3 linked regions of the Drosophila melanogaster genome follow. Changing the gene in region 1 together with any one later gene gives a genetic interaction. Each region holds a gene or a part of one and is shown on either strand. Other genes may lie near its edges.

What was found. Genes that interact genetically often act in the same process or in processes that back each other up.
Region 2: of Vrp1 (region 1) and dock, changing one enhances a phenotype caused by changing the other (phenotypic enhancement), as found in Drosophila melanogaster (one study listed by BioGRID).
Region 3: of Vrp1 (region 1) and SCAR, changing one enhances a phenotype caused by changing the other (phenotypic enhancement), as found in Drosophila melanogaster (2 studies listed by BioGRID).

Annotation. Positions count from the first base shown.
Region 1 is NT_033778.4:22,119,543-22,124,181, reverse strand, and holds the start of Vrp1 (verprolin 1), read left to right. Parts: upstream 1-1,619; 5' UTR 1,620-2,289; intron 2,290-4,639. Other genes in the region: mei-S332 (meiotic from via salaria 332), read right to left, coding at 1-646, 708-1,184.
Region 2 is NT_033779.5:824,350-831,968, reverse strand, and holds the start of dock (dreadlocks), read right to left. Parts: upstream 6,001-7,619; 5' UTR 5,462-6,000; intron 2,665-5,461; exon of another isoform or gene 2,513-2,664; 5' UTR 2,434-2,512; coding exon 1,998-2,433; intron 1,825-1,997; coding exon 1,620-1,824; intron 1,232-1,619; coding exon 886-1,231; intron 793-885; coding exon 343-792; intron 256-342; coding exon 46-255; 3' UTR 1-45. Other genes in the region: CG3862 (uncharacterized protein), read left to right, coding at 6,172-7,536. UniProt on the Drosophila melanogaster protein: Adapter protein that links cell surface receptor tyrosine phosphorylation to downstream signaling pathways and effectors, many of which are involved in regulation of the actin cytoskeleton.
Region 3 is NT_033779.5:10,974,842-10,982,771, forward strand, and holds SCAR (SCAR), read left to right. Parts: upstream 1-1,930; 5' UTR 1,931-2,229; intron 2,230-3,056; 5' UTR 3,057-3,120; coding exon 3,121-3,865; intron 3,866-4,038; coding exon 4,039-4,140; intron 4,141-4,791; coding exon 4,792-4,872; intron 4,873-5,603; coding exon 5,604-6,271; intron 6,272-6,337; coding exon 6,338-6,587; intron 6,588-6,645; coding exon 6,646-6,824; coding exon of another isoform or gene 6,825-6,881; 3' UTR 6,882-7,554; downstream 7,555-7,930. Other genes in the region: abo (abnormal oocyte), read right to left, coding at 1-371; ATPsynG (ATP synthase, subunit G), read right to left, coding at 1,061-1,320, 1,410-1,449; piwi (P-element induced wimpy testis), read right to left, coding at 7,817-7,930.

The DNA of each region.
Region 1 (4,639 bases):
AGCTTCTACTCGGCCTTGCGCTGTTGTTGCAGAAAGAACTAGACATATCCGTATTTTCTGATTTCTTATTAGCCGCAGTTCGGCTTCTAGTTCTTATAGATGGCATTTCCTCGACGAGAAAGGATTTCGGAGTGCTGGTGCTTCCGGCCATTTTGCCTATCCCATTGAACAGGCTTCTTCGCGGCGTTAATCCGTTGACATCAGGAAATATTCCAGACGATTGACTAGGCCTGGTGACTGCCAGTCGTGGGCACTGTATGCTTGGCTCCTGTGGAGAATCTTCCACAGCTACGGAAATAGCCAACCATGATCCCTTCCCAGTCTCTTTTCCCCGACTGAGGGACACTGCTACAGGGATATTGGTGTCCACTTCCCGCAGAGCCCGTCCACTGGGCGTGACGGTGACTTGGGCGTTTGGCGGACTACTTTCAAACGTTGTGTCGCAATAGATGGCCTCGCATGATGATGACGAGTCTGTGGACTCCCCTTCACTGCCATTTTCCTCTATAATGCTAAACAGACGATTGTTCTCTTCATTTTGCTCAGTCTGTGTCTCCTCCACGGGGCTTACTGCTTCGTCGAAATCATCGTCCGAGTCGTCCTCATCAAACACTAATTCCGCTGGTCTTCGTGGCGGTGGTGTAGGCTGTACTCAAGCCGATAATGAATCGTTAAGAAAAGCATAATCAAATTTAAGTATAAGTTACCTTGTTGGCTCTTCTATCCTCTGGTATCCTAGTGGTCACCACCTCGGACTGCACTTCTGCGCTGGAGCGGCGACTAGTGGACGATACAGTACTGGTCACTGAGGAAGATCTTCTTGGCGAGATTGGTCTGGTGGTGCGGGCCAACGCACACGTCCGTCGCATGTCCTTGCAGATTTCCCTGGAGCTGCGACGCGGGCCGCTTGGTCTGTTTATCTGAGCTGCGGGAGCGGGCTCCTGACGCACTGCCAGGGAATCGGAGTCCACGTTCAGGCTCAGCATCAGGCTGCGTACGATACTGATGTTCTCCATGCGCTGGCGATGGTTTTGCAGGACGTGCTCCTCCCGAATGTCCATGATCTCTCGCTCCAAAGATATCACCCGCTTCCTGTACTCGCCGATCTCCAAGCGCTGCTTCTGCACTTGGTCCATTAGCTCCGCATTCAGCAGCTTGTACTGCTGCTCCACTTTGGATCCCATTTGCTTCTTCTGATCTACTTATTCCATACACAAAATCCAGACAGACGACGCCAATAGCTTGTTTTGAATTTTGAAATAGAGTGACCGTTGTTGTGCTATTGGAATATACCCCAGCTTAAGGAAAACTTTTTGAAAGTATGGCAACGCCGACCATGCTCTTAATTAAAATGAAATTCTTTAATTTTGGGCCATATATATAAGAAACAATACAATCCGATGTGAATATATTTTATTTTAATAATTATAAATTTGTTTGTCTCATTTGCACGACAAGAATTAGGAACCGTTGAGTTGGTGCGAATTTGATCGTACATGCGTTACCAAGGGTAATTTTCCATTTAAATTCTACACGTATGCCAAAATGCTAAAATTTCGCTTAGTGGAAGCTGTGTATATTGCGGGACACCGATTTCGATAGGCACAAACCATCGAGAGACATCGATACGTCTATGTTTCTCTTACACCTCTAAGCTGCACAATAAATTTATTGTTTTCTCGACCGATTGCGAAGAAAATCTGGATATCCGTGGTAGATAAACAATGCTGCAGCGCTAGAACCCGGAAATCGAAGTGAATACGCGTTTCGGGAGGTTGTAGATACACCTTGCAGAACGCGAAAATCGCACTGAATCAGAAGTCAGCCCACCTGGCAGTGTGTGCGTGCGTGTACGTGAGTGAGAGTGTGCTGTCGCAGTGTGCGTGTGTTTGTGTAAAAATGAAAATCAGTCGGATTTGTATCGTCGTTGTACGTCTTTTAGGCATTTAGCCAGGCTTTTACACATTTCTACAATTCTTACCAACAGTGGGAGGGACTTTCCCCCCGCACTCACAGGACACGATACACATCACATGCAACACCTGTGCACTCGAAAAACGATAGACGGATCTAGCGCGCGGATTAACTTAACTTAGGAACACGGATACGGATTATACACCATAGTTTCGGAAAAATACATTAGGGAACCGCTTGCTATGCTGTTTCATCTCCGCCAGAGAATCACGACAATCACCTGCTGAAACACCGAAGACAGCCAGCAGCCCAGAGAACCGAGAATTTCATTCACAGAAGCTACGACCGCAGTCGAAAACCGAAACCCGCTTCAAGGTGAGTCTGTTTGTAAATCCAACTCGTTTGGCTTTGTACCCATTTAGTCGATTGAGTGCATCACTCAGCACTCAGAATCCGAAGTGGTACGGACTTATCGAGCGACCTTATCAATTCTATTTCGCACGGTGCCCAGAAATTTGGTAATTTATGGCAAGTTCAGGAACCTCTTCGGTACCAGTTCCATGTAGGCAATTATCTTATCGCGCCCTCCGACAATTTCGCCACGATATTTGCGACTAATGGTTGTGTGTATGTAAAATTGCATTTTCCAAGATATGGGGCTATATCTTATAGCCTCGAGGTACACAATAAACAAACACATACCAGCGTTAGTAGGCAGCTGTATTTAGACTTTTTATAATATTTATTCATATGTCCATATTCCAGATTAATCACCATTATTTGCATATATTCTAAGTATAGCCGACAGTCCATGTCTTGCCCGATTTGATTTAATATTTGAGCTTGCATGAAATTTATTTTTTCCTGTGTCGGAGAACACGAAAAGCCTTTTCCACCGTCTAACCGGCTAAAAGGGGTGCAATAAACTCGGGTCGCTTTGATTTTCTCCTGTTCCGTCAGCGAATGCACTTTGTTTTGGTTTGTTGTCGCTTTGTCTTAATCACATTAAGCAAAACGCCCGGGCACGCGACGCATGACGACACCAAGTGTTGCAACACCAGCGAAGACCCATGGAGCATGTGGCCACCCATGCCACCCCATAACTGACCTACAAAGAGTGCATTGCTCGACGGCCGACGAAAACTAAATTCGCTGACTAGGGGTTGATTCATTCGCTTGGCTCCCTTCAGCGATGTGAGTGCGAATTGTGGCGGTTGAACTTCGATGGTATGACATAATCTGGGCTCTTACTATAGCCATTTGAAGAGGCATACAATCGCAATCTTTACATTAGATTTATTACTTGTAGAGTTAGTCACAAGTTTTAGCTTAAGCGTGCAACTTCTGGTGTCGTGGTACCGGTGTCCGGGTTCCAGTTGTCCAGCACTCCCATTAGCTGAGCAACGAATATCTGATAGTCGAGGAACGTCTTGTTTATATTCTCATTTCTAAAATGCTTTACTACTCTGCGATGGTGGAAAACAGATATCAAAACATTGAAATACAAGACTATAGAAGTTGTTATAAGTAATTTCTTTTCTCTGTACCGAAAATAACCCTCGTGGCCAATTTAGTGCGCTCTTTAAACCATCCACAAGTGTGAATGGGCTTCGAGCTCCTTTCCGTAATGCTATGCATGGCACAAAGGGTCGTCCCAGTCGCCGGGTTCAATGTCATTGGCGTGGCGTAGGCCATGGCAGCGGTGGGCACATGGCACCGACCCATCCCAACGTCCCATTCCATGGCATCCCGTCCAGGAGTCTGCCTGCTGCCGGTCTATTGTCGAGGCTGTTGTGCATGCCCCACTGCAAGTACACACAGAAATATCGAGTGCTGCTGCAGTGACACACGCAAAGACTGGTGATTGAAGGGAGGGTGGAGGTGAAGGTGTGTGGGGCACGGGGTGTGGATATGGGGTTTTATGGCCACGGGGAGTGGGCACTTGTCGGCCTTGTGTGCGGCCATTTGTCAGTCGAATTGGCTGTCGTGCATTTTTCGAGCACTGCATCACACGAGGTCTGATTGGCACGTAGTAGAGAGAGAGAGTCGGTCGTTTCTGTCAGCCTTTATGACGCTGAATTATGCTGCACTTCCTTGTGCAACCTGGAACTGAATCATAAAACTACAGTGAGCTCTCCAGCACACCGATTTCTGACTACAGTTTCGAGCCCCATGCCGAGGGCTTTCGCTTCCTCGGTGCCCCGGTGACTCATAGTTTGTGTTTGACTTGTGTTCACATCACATTTGCAGTTGCACTGCGAACACTCCTCTCTCTCAATGTGCTTTAAGCATGAAAGTAATTTTTTTGAAAGTGATTCAATGTTCAAAGAGGAAGACCAACTTCCCATTTCGAATCTTATCCGACTAAAAAATGAATTGGCACATGAGGATGTTTAGCTGAGTATTTATTTCTTAGGCACTTAGAATGACCGGGTTGTTGTTTCTAAGAGCTGTTAGTGGCTCTTTTTTTCCATGTGTAGTGTATGCAAACTAGCGAACCCAACACCGTTGTTGTCATTGAGTTCATCGTTGTCTCGTCTCGACTCTCATGATGTGTTTACATTAGTTATTTAAGCATTGTGCGACGGTGCTGAAAACCGCATTTTAATAGACCCGCCGGCAACAACGGGCTTAGCAACTGAAACAGCCACATCAAGTGCAACAATGCAATATTTATCTGTAAGCAAATATGGGCCTTACATCACACACGCGCAGCAAGCGCTGA
Region 2 (7,619 bases), on another chromosome or scaffold:
GGTAATATGAATGCTGAGATTTCTCTGCTCCAGTCCTGGACCTGCTTACGTGCCATTGGCCTTCGGCAGCGATCGCACCAGATACAGCTTTTCGCCCTGCTTATTCGTGTAGATGGGCGCTCTTTGGTAGTGATCGACCAGTTGGTCCAGCGAGTGGAACTTCCTCTGCCCAATGCAGTACATGTTCTGCTCCACGTGCACGCGGAAGTGCTTGTTGCGCCCTGGGGCCTTTAACGAAACCGAATAGTCTCCCATCTGCAAGAAAGGATGAATTCGTTTATACACTCTCAAAGAATTCGGGCGGAACTATGTTATGGCACTTCAATTGCGAATTCCACTTACGTTAGTCTCACTGTCTCTGATGAGGAAGTCGCCATCGTGCCCGTGGCCGTTGAGCACCGTGTCGCACTGGCTGCGGGTGATGGCTCCATAATACCACGACTTGCCCGCCAGATTTGGCCGCTCGATTGGCTGGCCGGAAGATTGCGCCGCCGGCTTATTACCCTCATTGCGCCGCTCCATGGAGTCGTTTCCTCCGCCACCACCTGCGCCGCCATTACTTCCTCCTCCATTTCCGTTTCCTGCACTGGCACTCGCATTACGATAGGGCGTGGCCAGGTAGTCGTTCAACTCTTGGAGATAATTGCGTGGAACTAAACCGACTTGGCCCTGATTGTTGCGAGCTTTGTACCAGTCCGGATCGGAGGCGGGCCGATCCACGATCTCCAAGCGATCGCCCTTCTCGAACGAGAGCTCCTGGTCGTTGTTTGACGTGAAGCTGTACAGCGCGACCTATATATTTGAAAATAGTTGTTATTAGCCAATAATGACAACCTCTCATAGATGATGTGAATGTTTATTTTGAGAACACGTCCAGTTACTCACCACAATATCAAGCACGTTCTCGGCCATTGCGTAGGTGTGGATCTCGCCGTCGTTATCACAATCCTCCGTTGTGTAGTTGCTGGGGAACCAGCCGACGGAATTGCCGCTCTGTCCACGCCACCATCCATCGTTGGACTTCTCCAGGATGAGGATTCGTGTGCCCTTGGTCAGCGAAAGTTCATCGGGCTGCTGGGCCTGATAGTTATACTTGACCACAGCCGTTCCGATGGCCTCTGCGGGATCTGGGGGAAGTCGGCGCGACATGGTTGGACTCTCGACCTGTCGCGAAGGCGAACAATTAGGCAGTGTCTTCGATCCGGAGCCCTTTTTCACCTTCTTCTTAATGCTGCACAGAAATCGTAAATCAAAATATTCACGATCAGTATTGGGATGAAGTTTTATGGTTAGATTTCATTGGCGGTTTAAAGTGGGTTAGACTAGCCCTAGTTGGTTTGGGTGTTAGTGGATCTTTAGTTTTTAGGGGCAAGTGGGGCTCGACAGACAACGAAATCAAAACGAATTTGTTGTTTTGAAATACAAAATACAAAAGCCGAAAGCAGTTATAAGTTAAATTACGATAGCCAAAGCAAAAGGTGGAGGCGGGTATTTGAACGCGATAGAGATACAGATACATCTACGGATACGGATACAGATACAGGTATAGAGGGCTTAATTCTGCTGAAATCAGAGCAAGAAGAACGCTTAGGTTTAGTCGGGCCAGGAATCTGACGCACCTGTCGAAGAGCGAGGGCTTCTCCTTCTTCACATAGTTGCTTGGCACGTAGCCGGACTGGTTGCGACTGTTCTGGACGCGCCACCAGTGCTTGGAGTCGTCCAGCAGCAGGTAGCGCTCGTTCTTGCGCAGATCCAGCTCCTGGGCACCCTGCGCCGCATAGTCGTACTTGGCTACCACGTAGCAGACGTCGTCCTGAGATTTGCCTGCGGAGTGATTAACAGGAACAGGTTAGAAGAGTACCAAGTGCACACACAGTTAGAAAAGCAAAATGGGCCAGTATGATAGAACCACAAATTCATTAGCATACAAATCCTAGATCCTTTTACTACACCCAATGCTCTTCTCGCTGTGAGGTTATTGTGTTGCAGTTGCTCACCGTGCTTCATGTTGCCCGCCATTGATTGGGTTCCAGCGTTGCCGGCGGCACTGCCACTGGAGGAGTTGCCGCTACCGCTTCCGTTGGCGCTTCCGCTGCCGTTGCCGCCGCAGTCGAGCGCTGGCTGGCCGAAGGTCACACTTTTGTGCTGGGCGCTGCAGGAGGAGGCGGTGGACAGGGTGCGGTGGTGGTGCAACTGCTGTTGCTGGGAGAGCGAAGAGTGCCGCTGGTGATGGGCAGGTGAGCCGGGAACGGGCACGGGCACCTGGGGACGGTACTGGTAGATCTGATTCTGGTTCAGGTTCTGATTCTGGTTGAGATTCAGATTCTGGTGCTGCGGCAGCTGTGGCGGATGCTGCTGCTGCTGCGGATACTGCTGCGAACTGGCTGAGGAGTCGGGGATGTTGCGCACAAACCGCTGGGGGTGTTCCAACATTCCAGACTGGCTGCTCCTCCGCCGCGGGGGGATTCCTGCTCCTCCAGCTGGGACTGCCCTGATGCTCCTGGTGATGCTCCTGGAGGCAAGAGGCGGTGGCTCAGTGTTGGTGGACTTGGAGTTGGGGTTGGAGTTGATGAACAACAAGTCTTTGATGGTTTGGTTATGTGTTGCAGTTGCTCGCTGGCACTCTAAGCTTGCTGCAAATCGCCTCTAGCCAATGCATAATTGCTGTGGGCGTGGTTTCAGGGGGCGAATGGGCGTGAGCGTGGGCGGAAGCGTAGGCGTGGCAAAGTAAACATAAGCAACGCAATAACATAAGCAACGAACGAAGAAAGAAAGAAAAAGAGAGCAAATGATATATGCAAATTAGGCTTAATTGTTTCGCACTGAAGAAGCTAAAGAGCGTAAAAATGATTAGCTTAAAAAATACAATGCAAGTACTCAAACTCGAAATACCAAATAGGAAATCAACTCAAAATTAGCCGAGAGATGAATGTTTGTTTTTGGGGTCAGCGAGCCGGCGATGAAGATGAATGAGTGAAGTGTTTGTGTTGTGATGATCATGATGATGATAATATGAGCGGGAGATGGATATGGGGGCTGAGGGATCTGGCCATTCCAGTTGTGGGGCAATTAAAATCTGTGCAAGTGAAAGTTGCCTCCGACTGACTCCACTCAATTGAATCCAATTGCCAGGCGAGCGAATAAGTGGCCATCGGGTATTGATTTGTTCAACGGGGCAGCCTCACCGAGGCTGGAGAACCAGAGACTCAAAATCCGGGCCATTTCAGGCCAAGAAAGACACAGAAATCAACTGAGACATTCGACCGCAATGAGTCACGAACGTGAATGGTCGGGGGTATTGGGAAATTGGTTTCTTAACCGAGATTTACCGAGTGACATAAGGCAGTTAGCGGGCGGCACAGAAGGTTATTTCGGCCAGAGATCTCTAGAGAGGCTTCCCGAGTTCGTTGGCCAGGTTGGCGAGCCAACAAAATCAAAGTCAATGTCATAGCCGAGGGCCATCTTTGGATAATTAAAAATCAATAAGTGTGGGCCACGTTGAGAAAACGCTCTACTCGGTCTTTGACTCTAGGCCAATCTTGGTTTCGCTTTTCAATGACTGTTAGGTCATACACGAGAGGCTGAGTCAGCTGAAAGTGTTTTCGAGAGCTCTAATGCCATTCAATTCTGGCATTTCGGTGCAATATCTATTAGCAACTGACCCATACGTATATAATAAGAAATGCAGGCAATGCATAAATTTGTTTTGCCGGTAAACTTCTAATCGTGCTTCCTGTTCGAATTTTGGCCATAATAATCTCCATGTGATAACGAGTGTTTTTGTTTACTTTACCATCGATTAGTCAAAGGTTTTTGCGTTAGCTAGAGATACGGAGAAGTACCTGTTTAACCGAAGCATTGGTCGCAAAGTGATTCACTGTTGTGCGAATTGTCTGTGTGTTTTCCCTATTTTTTGAGAGGAGAAAGCGGGAGTGAAACCGTAACCGAACCCAGATAGAAACGGAGAAAGAACCCGAAAAAGATTATATTTATGCAAATGCTGGAGTGATAAGGGGGCGGTTCAGTTCGGTTCGCTTGGGGACTTGGTAAACATGAAACGCCTGGCTGGCTGGCTGGCTGCCAATGAACTGAAATGCACCACCGTTGGATTCGGATCGGTGTTTGGATTTCTTTGGCTTGGTGATTGTTTTGTTATTGTTTGCGCTTGCATAAGCCCAACAGCCGAGACATTGACATTACACTGCTGATAAAATCCGAAGAAATCGGAAGGAACTTGCTGATAAGTTCGTTAGCGCGGAGAAATTGTCAAAAAATATATTATGAACTATGATTTGATAAGATTCCCTACTGCTACTGCAATAAATGAATATATATTTTTAAAGAATTCTTTGTGGTATGATTTCTTAGCTTCCCGTATGACAAACATTTATGTTTTTTTCCGGTGCACTCGTTCATTGTTTTCCTGACAGCAGTTCGTCTTTTCGCTGAGAGAAAGAAAGAGTTGCACGTGCTTGGGGGACAAGCCCACAAGTTTATGAGGCGGAAAGTTTGTTTCCCCGTGCTGTGTCTGTGTATTGGTTGAAGATCGGTTCCAGACGAGGGAGTATAGTCATTGGTCCCCAAGAAAAGCCATCACGAACGAATTGGTGGCCCCGAAACGGGAGCATTTGGGTCTATAACATTGAGTTACGACTTCGGTGGATGGATGGGGCAGCCATGGAGGAACTGAAAGTGGGGCACTCTTATCTGGATCTCGGGGCGTGGGAGGCAAAGGGCAGCCTGTTTACATAAGATCACTCATTCAGGGAGCTGGGAGTCCACTCCCGCCCGGGTTGATTAAGTAGATGCTTTTGCTGGGGAATGGGATTCGAATGGGGTTTCGGTTTCGGTTTTGTTTTTTGTATTTTGTATTTTTTTTTTGGCTTTTGTTGCCGAGGGAGTTTGCGACATTTGCCGGCCGTTTCGTTTAGAGATGCTGCGCAAAATCTCTGCGAGGTGGTGGCTTTTTGGCAGCGAGAGGGTGGACTTCTCGTCCTGCAAAGGATGGCAGGACTCGTTCCCAGTGTTGTTAAGAGTACAAGCTTTTGTACCTGGCACAGGCTTTTGAAAAACACAAGTACCTACTATAGTAGTATTTGAGCAATGAACATATTATAGATTTATGGTAAGTGAAGCATCTTCACGATTTATCTGTTTCATCTATCTAGACAAGGGAAAGGGTACATATGTACACACATATATATCGGTGGCACAGTTTGCCGTAAACACGACCATGGTTACCCAAAAAAAGGTGATGGAAAGCGGAGGGCTAAGGGTTGCAGCACCGCCCACTGGGCGGGTGGTGGACCGAGCCAAAGGACTACGCACCACCAGGTGACGAGGGCGAGATAAAGAGAGAGAGCGCAGGTCAAGAGAGAGAGAGAGAGAGCCGAGAGAGAGAGCCGTGAGAGATTCGAACAGGAGCTAAAAAGGAGCAGCCGAATATTTTGTGTGTACCTACCGGAGACGAAGCGGTTGGACTGGCAACTCCTATATTCCTCCTGGATCTCCTTATCCTGGCACTCCTTATCCGTATCCGTATCCTTATCCGGAAAGTCGGAGTCCGTATTTCTCGGTCTTAACCCTTGGCAATCCTCAGGATTTGGGAGTGGAAGACATGGGATAAGACACTGCTCCTGGAACTCCTGGAACGCACTCTATATCACTTCCACTTTCCACTGGGCTATTGCACTTTACACACACTTAAAACACAACTTTAATTATAATACACCTAGGCGTGAGTGTGTGTGTGTGAGTGGGGCGGGGGTGAGCCTGTGTGTGTGTACATATGCTGCTGCCGCGATTGAAAAACACACAAATCCTGACAAATAAACGCTTTTCCACGCTTCTGATTACCGCACACGTTAACTGCGTTAAGTGGCAAATTGTTTGCACAATTTTGCAGCGCTCTCTTGCGGTTAACTAATTAAATTTTAATGATTTTGCCGGAGCCGTTTCTTTCACGTCGCCCATCCGATTTCGATGTGCGGAAGGCGATAGCGATTGACCACGACCAGGGCTGTCAGGTGGCGTATCAGCGGTTTTTCTTAGCGAACTATCGATAAGCACGTTGCGCGCTGTGCAGCACTTGTCCGGTCATCGGGTCTATCGATATCGGGTGGCGTTTTTGTTATGATTTTGGATTACATGGTTGGTTTAACCCGAAATACCATGCTGAAAACTCGGGGTATTGTGCTTGGCATCAGCAGGTCGTACACCGCCAAGGCGAAGAGGGGTGTGCTGGCGCAGGACAAGTCGAAGATCAAGGAGTACTCACCGAAGACGACGGACAGCCATGAGCACCGAGTTTACGTGTGGGGCTTTCAGGAAACCGGCGCTCTCGGTCTCCAGACCAACGTGAAGAAGGCCAAGGAACGCTACACGGAGATGGTGCACCATCCCACCCGCTTGCAGTTCTCCAACAACAACGAAATCACGGATGTGGCCGCCGGCTACGGGTTCACGGTCTACGCCGTGAATAGAGATGACGGAGAGACGCTCTTTGGCAGCGGTTTGAACACCGACTCCCAACTGGGTTTCCAGGTGAAGGGAAATCCCAATGATCCGGCCAACCTTGACGTGATCATTTATCCTACAGCCATTAAACTGCCGAGAGTTCAGGGAGAAACAGACGAGGACATGCGTGTGAAGAGCATGTCGGCGGGTAGAGCTCACCTGGTGGTTCTGACCCAAAACGGAACCATTTTCACCCTGGGAAACAATTCGTACGGCCAATGTGGCCGCTCCATCATAGAGGAGGAGCGGTACAGCAAGAGTGCCCTGATCCACAGGATATCGCAGGAAGATATATGCGGCAAGGAGGATGAGGTGGTCCAGGTGGAGTGCGGCCAGGACCACAGCATGTTTCTTACCAAAAAGGGACGCATTTACACATGTGGCTGGGGTGCGGATGGTCAAACAGGTCAGGGAAACTACCACACCGCCGGGCAGATAACCCTGATTGGAGGAGATGTGGAAAAGGAGAAGATTGTGCGGCTCAGCTGCTCCTCGGACTGCGTTTTGGCCCTTAACGAGGCGGGCGATGCCTTTGGCTGGGGCAATTCTGAGTACGGACAGCTAGATGACTCAGAGCTGGCCGAAACCCAAATAAATATCCCTAGAGCTCTCAAACTAACGAAGTCCATCGGGAAAATCAAGGATGTGGCTGCGGGAGGCTCATTTTGCATGGCCCTCAACGACCAGGGTCTGGTGTACACCTGGGGCTTTGGCATCCTCGGCTTCGGACCCTTCGTGGAGCAAACATCCAAGCCGCAGCATCTGTTGCCGCCTTTATTCGGACGAAATGACTTCAGCAACGAAACCACAGTGGTTTCCATCGGATGCGGAGTGTTTCACATGGGCGCCGTCAACTCGGACGGAGATCTCTTCATGTGGGGCAAGAACAGGTTCGGGCATCTGGGGCTGGGACACAAGAAGGACCAGTTCTTTCCCTTTAAGGCGGCCATCAACGGAAAGGTCACCAAAGTGGCCTACGGAGTGGATCACACCATTGCCTTGTGCAAGCCGTTCTTCTAGATTAAGCTGTTTGTTTTAGATTAGTTAACTTAAAGTATACTCTAGTCGAAAATACTATTGCCAGTGGCAGCCCAACCAATAAA
Region 3 (7,930 bases), on another chromosome or scaffold:
CGTTCAAAGATCCTGCTCTTGAGTATGGTGTCCTGGCTACTGAAGCACTCGCCACTGCCTACATCCGCCTGGCGAATCAGTTCACCCACCGCCGCACAACTAGAACCCCCGTAGCTGTATATGAGCAGACTGCGCTGATCCTGCGAGAAGGCCAACAGTTTTCTGCCATCCGGCGTAAACTTGCGCAGGTAGATCGGCGGAATGGTAATCGAGTCAATTGTCAGGCAAGGCGTGATGCACTTGTAGAAGAGACGCTCGTAGGCCAACAGCGGCATCCTGCCCGGCTGTTGGCCCACGTTGGTGTATCCGGACTCGCGGTTCTGCAGCAGATGCACGAGGTTCTGCGATTGTAGGCGCTTCTTGTAGGCCATTCTGACAGATCCTGGGAAAGTTCTGCCAAGTTCCTATTCCTAATGTCAGCCGGGTTCTTCTTCCGATCGGAAGGTAACTAAAGTAAAGTGTGACCGCAGTTAGATTACAAAAATTTACTCTGTCTACAAAAGTTTTGTTGTTAAAAAATATAAGTATAATAATAATAATATTAATGCTTTTCAAGATTCAAATAAAAAACGTTATTTATAAATAAAATAATTCAATACATCTTACTTTACTTTGTTTAAAAAAATGTGTAAATGAATTATCTATGAAAAGCAAATTTAGATTTATTTATTTTTTTTTTTAAATAAAATTATTCTTGAGTGCTTTTAAATGCTCTAAGTATATTATGTATTTCTGAACCATTAGCCTCTTTGATTACGACACCGTTTCATAAACATTTGATGTATAACATTACATATATTTTTTTAATTTTTATCATTAAATATCGTCAACTTTTAATTCCAAACTTGGTTTTACATCACCTCATCTTTAGCTTACACAAATCCCGCGCAAACGTTCTAACGGTTTTCAAAAAACAATGTATTTTTCGAAAATTTTCGGAATTTTAAATTACTATTTCACTTTATTCAGAGTCGAAATGTTCGCAGACATATAAATATACACATCTGTTAGGGATTACGTTGCCCATTCCAGTGACTGCCAAGCGGAGACTATAGTAAGCTTAGACATTGTAGCCTACAATGTGACGCTTGCCGATGCACTCGCCGATGTAGAACCAGAAGATGACCTCGGCGGTCACCAGGGTGTTAAGCCAGGCCTCGCGAACCGTGAGGTTCTTGTAGGCGCCGGTCTTGGCTCCCTTGATGATGTTGCCCAGTCCTTGGCGAATGGCCGGAATATCGGCGGGCGTCGGGGGCGTCAGTTCCACCTTGGCGTACTTCAGGAACACGTCCAGTTGGGGCCTCGCCTGTGTGAGGAGCCCTGCAAAAAGTGATCATTACATAATTTTGCGATTGACAGGCGCCAATGGTGGTGTATCCATTCGATTGCATTCGATTCACGACACTCACTGTTCACAAGTCCTGATCCCTTGGTAGCCAAACTCGCCATCTTTTCAATTTGGTTCTGCAAGCAGTTGGAATTATACAAGAGGAAATCAACGAAATGTGCGGAAAACTTACCTATTCAGTGTGCGACGAAACAGAGATGTTATGCATTGGGGCCAGGGCTGGAGCACTAGTTATCGATCGGCGGATAAATACCAAAAATACCAAATATACATTTCTAAAGTTAATGGAAGAAACTGCAAACAGTAATTTTAAATAACGTTAATAAAATAGCTTATTATGGATAATATAGAGTTAAAATAAAATAAAATAAATTGAATATATATTTATATTTAAAATATTTCATTCTATACAGTAAATAAACAATATGAAATGAGTTACTGAAAATTCCCTTGCAAAATTTATTTAAATATAGTAATTAAAATACATATTACATTTAATATAAAAATAACTTTTTCCCCACCGCATCGTGCAGTATATTTGTCTGATTTTCCGAAATGATGAATCCCTGCAGTATTTTCGAACCACAAAGCTTCGGTCACACTGCAAAGGTGTGGAAATCTTAGTTTCCACAAAACGAGCAAATATTTGCAGTTTTCAAGCCCCAAATTGGCTAATTAGAGTTCGCATCGGATCGAATTTGCCACCGAACCCCCGAAACGGAAGTGGCTGCTTAATGTTTGTTGTGGTGCCAGCCGCCAAACGAAAAGTGTGACGGGCGGTGAGTGTACGATATGCTGTAAAGTGAGGTGGACTGTGTAAAACTAAGCTGCGCCGTTCAAAACCAAAATCAAAATCGCAGCAGCCACTACGATTAGAAAGTGTGAGAGATACCTTTGTGTGTGCATTGTTGCGATTTAGTGCGAATGTTTCAGTGCGAAAATCTGAAAGAGTCAGCCGTTCCGTCCCACACATATGTATGTACATTTACTTGGGTGCTGCTGCTGCTGCGGTTCATGCGTGTGTGTGAGTGCGTGACGGTCTAATTTGCGTTGGTGGGAGGCCGCCGACGATATACGTATATGCACGTATGGAATAGGTGCCCACGTAAAGGCCCCAGGTCGTAGCACCCAGAAACTGCCACCGAAAAGGGGGGCATTATCGACTAATCTCGCCGGGACTGCAAGGTGCATCTTGCGGGGGTGACTTGGGCGTTACGCCCTTATCACCTCGCTGTGGGTATCGTTTCGTGGGGTGTGGTCCAGACGTCGAGTTCGTCAGTCGCGCATATCACAAAACAATTCAAATGGCATTTTGGTGATTGTAATGAACACGTCTCATGGATACATGGATAAGCGTCTCGTGAAATCTTCTGCAATACCATTCTGAGTCTTGTTCATAGACGGTTTAGTATAGTGATGACAAAATTTCTTTTAAACCAATTTTGATAGTATCCAATTAACTTTTTAAACGTCTACTTTTACGGGAAAATTTATAAACAAAGTTAAACGACAATTTGGGAAGTACAATTTTATCGGAATGAAATGTCTTCAATTGATAATCAGCATAAAAAGAAATCTTTTTATTATTGATCCCAATTTGGCATGAGATTATGTAGTAAATCAGTAAATAAAGGGTTTTATATTTAATTAATTTTAAATGCATTAATTCGTATTAAAACAATTTATTACTTATTAATGCCGTTTTCAGTCGATGAGGACGCACTAATTTACGGGTTTGCCAATTTGGAGATAATTGTCAATCGCGCCCGACCATGCCGCTGCCCAAACGATCCATAGAACCCGTGCATGTGGCCCGCTCCGTGTATCAGCAGGATGAGCTGCAATCCGTGGAGCTGGAGACGGTCACCAACACCACGCTGACGAACATCATTCGCCAGCTGTCCTCGCTGTCCAAGCACGCAGAGGATGTGTTCGGTGAACTGGCCCGCGACGTGGGCAACATCGGGGATCGAGCTAACTCCCTGCAGGCGCGCATCGATCGCCTAGCTATCAAAGTTACCCAGCTGGACAGCACAGTTGAGGAGGTGCCCTTGACGGACATTACCCGAAAGAAGGCCTTCAAGTCGGCCAAGGTTTTTGATCAACAGATCTTCTCGCGCGCCACCATGCCGGCACCAATGATGGACACATATGCCCAGTGCGACAAACCGCCGCCCCTCGACAAGCTTAATGTCTATCGAGACGATGGCAAGGATGGTCTTAAGTTCTACACGGATCCGAACTACTTCTTTGAGTTGTGGCGACAGGAGATGCTGAAGGATACCGAACGTGTGATGCACGACAAGGGCAAGAAGCTGAACAGACCGCGGCAGGATGGCGGTGCCGGCGGAGCTGCTGGACGTGGCAATAAGAAACAGAAGACCAAAATAAGGGTGCCGCACAATACGCGCGAACAGCAGCGACAACGTGCACTGGTGCACGGCGAAACATTGATGCCCAACAACGTCATCTACCGCACACCGAATTCCATGGTCAACGAAGAAGCCGGATACGGAAGTAAGTACTTGGCGAAAGGGATTGGTCTCCGTGTGAGCCAAGTATTCAGTGCGAACCAAATTCATAGGCTGTTATTGGTACGTTCGTTTCGCGCACTGACTATTTGCACTTGTCTTGCCTATTGAATGGTACATCTATTTTAATTATCAATTATGTCCTGTCTGCCCGTGTAGTTCAGCTAGTCAAAATACAGACTGTGGGCGAGGCTGACATCGATTTGCGGCATAGCACTCTCGATGCGCACCACCAAGTTGTCGGTAATATCCAAGACGTAGGTACGATGATGGGGCCACGTAGCTTTCATTTCCGCCCGGCAGACATCCCACGATACAGATGTACCCGCCATTCATTCACCTACTTCACTCAAAAGCTCGCTAGTTTTCGATGCGCCTCAAAACCCAGTTCGAAGATCACTAATTTGTATTATTTTGAAGTTGCTATTAATTGAAATTAACCCACACAATCATGACCCAGAGAAAGGTGACCGAAACAAAGTTTCCAGAGCTTAAAAAATAAATGAAATGGTACTTAACATAAATTCCATCTAAAGTTTGATTAAAATCTCAGATACAGGATATATTCGATCTAATTCATTATTATTACACCATTAGCAAAATGGTCTATGGCCAGTCTAGTTCATCCTCCTGTAAGTTAGCAAGACTTTCGAACTTGATTTGTCTCTAATTTGAATTCACTGACTTTGTTCCAATGAAGTTCGTCTTGTTGATGGTAAATACAATACGGTCAGAGAACCTTACAATTTCATTCTCCGAATGGTCGATTATTTTTCGCAGCTTTTATTTATTTGCATGTTGTTTTTATGAACTACTCTTTCGTTGTTTTCGGTTATGATATTAATGAACGTGAACATAAATATGCATTGCAATTACGAATGGATCAATCGCGCATAACCATCTCATTTACAGATACAGTAAAGCCTTATAATATGCTTTCGCATTTGGAGAATAACAGTAATGTCACCAAGCAAACCGCCGTTGCGATTGCAGGTTAGACATCCACATCCACTTTTAGCAAGCTCAGTAAAGACTATATATGTTCTTTCACTCGCTTCTATCCCCATATTACCTTACTAGCAATCCTTTTTGAGTTCCTTTAGCATTTGTGTGTACAGAGAACACTCTCTTTTTCAAACTATCAATCGGAATGGCGATGATTTATGAGTTTCATTGGTCATGCAAAGTGCAGATTTATTATCTCAAAACACTGTAAACTAGTCACCTTCTAACTTGCAATTTTAATGTAATGTGTGTGCACATTATATTTACAATGCATCTTGCATTTTGCATAATACTTTAATTCATTTCATACTCGCGATTCGTGATTGAGCCGCAGTTTTTGTTTAGGATCCTCCTATCTTTCTGTTGTAGTTCAGTCAATTTCCATATCTACGTCTACATGTCACTCTGCAGCTTTACTAATTCCTTTCTGTCGCCACATCTTATTCTACGAAAGTATCTCTAAATTGTTTTCTGTGCAACGAGCTAACAAAGACTTTTAATCGGATGTTTGTATATTCAACAAAATTTCTATTCGAGTCCAGCGGTCTCATATGCACAGAAATTTGGAATTGCTTGTAATTACATATGTGTCTTATTGTTCCTCGGCTGTAATTACAAAATAATTGGCGTGTTTTTAAATGAGATGTGTGTCCTGTAAAAACGTTCATTTTAATGGGTGGTTAGTCAACGGCTCTAATATCTCACATTCATTATTCTAGATATGGGAGTGTACGATACACGTCCGCCACGTCCTAACTCGATCGAATTGAACCGAAGCTATCAGTCGGAGCAGATCGATGGTAGCACCTACGAGCAGCTTCCACCGCAGATGGGTAATCAGTATGCTGCCACCTTCGGCAACGGCATGGGTGGCCCCCAGCAGATGCACATGCAGCATCAGCAGATGTATGACGCCGGAATGTATCAGTCGCATGCGCTGTACGGCCAAACTGGACAGGGAGTGATGTCGCCGGAGCCCATCTACGGACCGGGAACACCGTCGCGTAACAAACCGCGTCCGTCGCAGCCGCCACCGGCTCCGCCATCGAATGGCAGCGGTGGTGGTACGCCCACAGCCTCCAATGCCAACACTCCGACAAGGGGCAGAAGTATGTCGACCAGTCGGGATGCCTTGCCACCGCCTCCACCAGTTCCAGACGTCATTTCACCAATGTCTGGCATGAACGGAGTCAACAGCGGGCATATGGCGGCCAAACTGCTTGGCCGGGCGAACAGTTCGTCGGGAGCTGGATCTCCCAACAGCGTCCAGAATGCCAATGATATGGTCATGACGCAACTGAGCAATACTTTCCACAGCATCGGTATGACGGGCAATCAACTGAACTCCCTTAGCGACTTGCCGCCACCGCCGCCGGTTCCAGATCAGGTTTGTTGTTCACTGATGGGTGTTAATATATCACAATTTGGTTTAATTTGTGGCAAAACCTTACAGCACTCGCCTAAGATGTCGCCACCTAATGCCGCGCCACCACCGCCGCCGCCACCGCCTCCAGTCGAGGAAGGCATGGGCAGTGGCAACCAACACACGCTGCGCCCGCATCAAATTCTTCCCAAATCACTGGCCAATGGCGAAATGCAGCAGCCCGGCCAACAAAATGGTGTGCCTCACATTGTCGCACCCAAGAAGATGCTGCCTCCATTCCATGACCCACGCAACGACTTGATGAAGGCCATTCGAGATGGTAAGTAATTGCCATTCAAGGTTCGAATGCAAAAATATCATCAAATTAATCTTTCCAGGTATTACTCTACGTAAAGTTGAAAAGTCAGAGCAAAAGGAAATTGAACGAAACGCGGCGCCATTGGATGTGGCTTCAATCTTGGCCAGACGTGTGGCTATCGAATTATCCGAGTCCGAGGATTCGGATAGCGAAGACGACAGCGAGGGCTGGATGGAACCGAACGAAACATCGGCTTGATCCCTGATTAACTCGTTAAAGCCTGACATAATTCTAAAAAACAAAAAGAAGAAGTAATTCCAAAGAGAATTAATCCATACGATGGTCGAAACCAAGCGTGGTATGAAATTGGATTACACAAAAGCACCAAAGCTTTTCTACCACCCTTTATACAATATACACCTAATCCTAAATAATATGTCTAAAATCAAAAGTTTCATTGAATTGTATATACACCAACGAGTAATTATCGTTAAATTAATCGCTATAGTGAACGAACGCATTTGCATTTTAAGCCTAGACGACAATCCAAGGAAAGCGATTTAAAAGACTTGCTAATTTTGTTCGCTTCTTTGGAGTCAAGGTCTGAGTAGATATGGGCTTCTGTATCATAGTAGTCGGTGTTTGGATATTAAATTATAAATAATCGATATTATCACTGAACTCAATCCTACCCCAACTTGCAATCGATACGATTAATATAAAACATTTATCCAAAATGAAAATTTAGAATTTTGTAAATACAAACACATTAAAATATATCGAACTCCGTAGCATTTCAGTATACTCAACAAGCTATGAAATTGTATTATCCTTGTGAAAGTTAAATACCTGTATAATTAATAAAATATGTTTCACGAATATAAGCAGCCATGAATGTGTGGTTAAGTAAGCAAACATGGATGTATGTAATTTTTCTTTACATAAACTAAAATATACAATAAAAAATAAAGTAATTATATTCCAAATTAATGAACATGTCTTGATAGATAACTTTAAATGTTTGTTTGGGAATTTCCTCTGGTCTTATGCTTAAATACCAGAATCTTAATCCTCAATTTTGCTTTTGTTTGAAAAAAGAGCAGTAATGCATTTCAAATACAAAATATTTAGTCATAAATGCTGAAGTGCTTAGCAAAAGTAAGAAAGTATTGAAAAAGTATAAATGTCTGGGCTAGTTTCATATATGGCCTCTTAGTAAGGATTAATACTCCATTCTAAATTATATCCAATTATAGATAATAAAACTTCTTTTCGAGCGCGTTTTGCGGAATAGAGTGCAAGTTCGTACCCACGAGGGTAGCTAGCTTCTTAGCGTACTGGCAAACTGCTGGCACTCGTGTGGT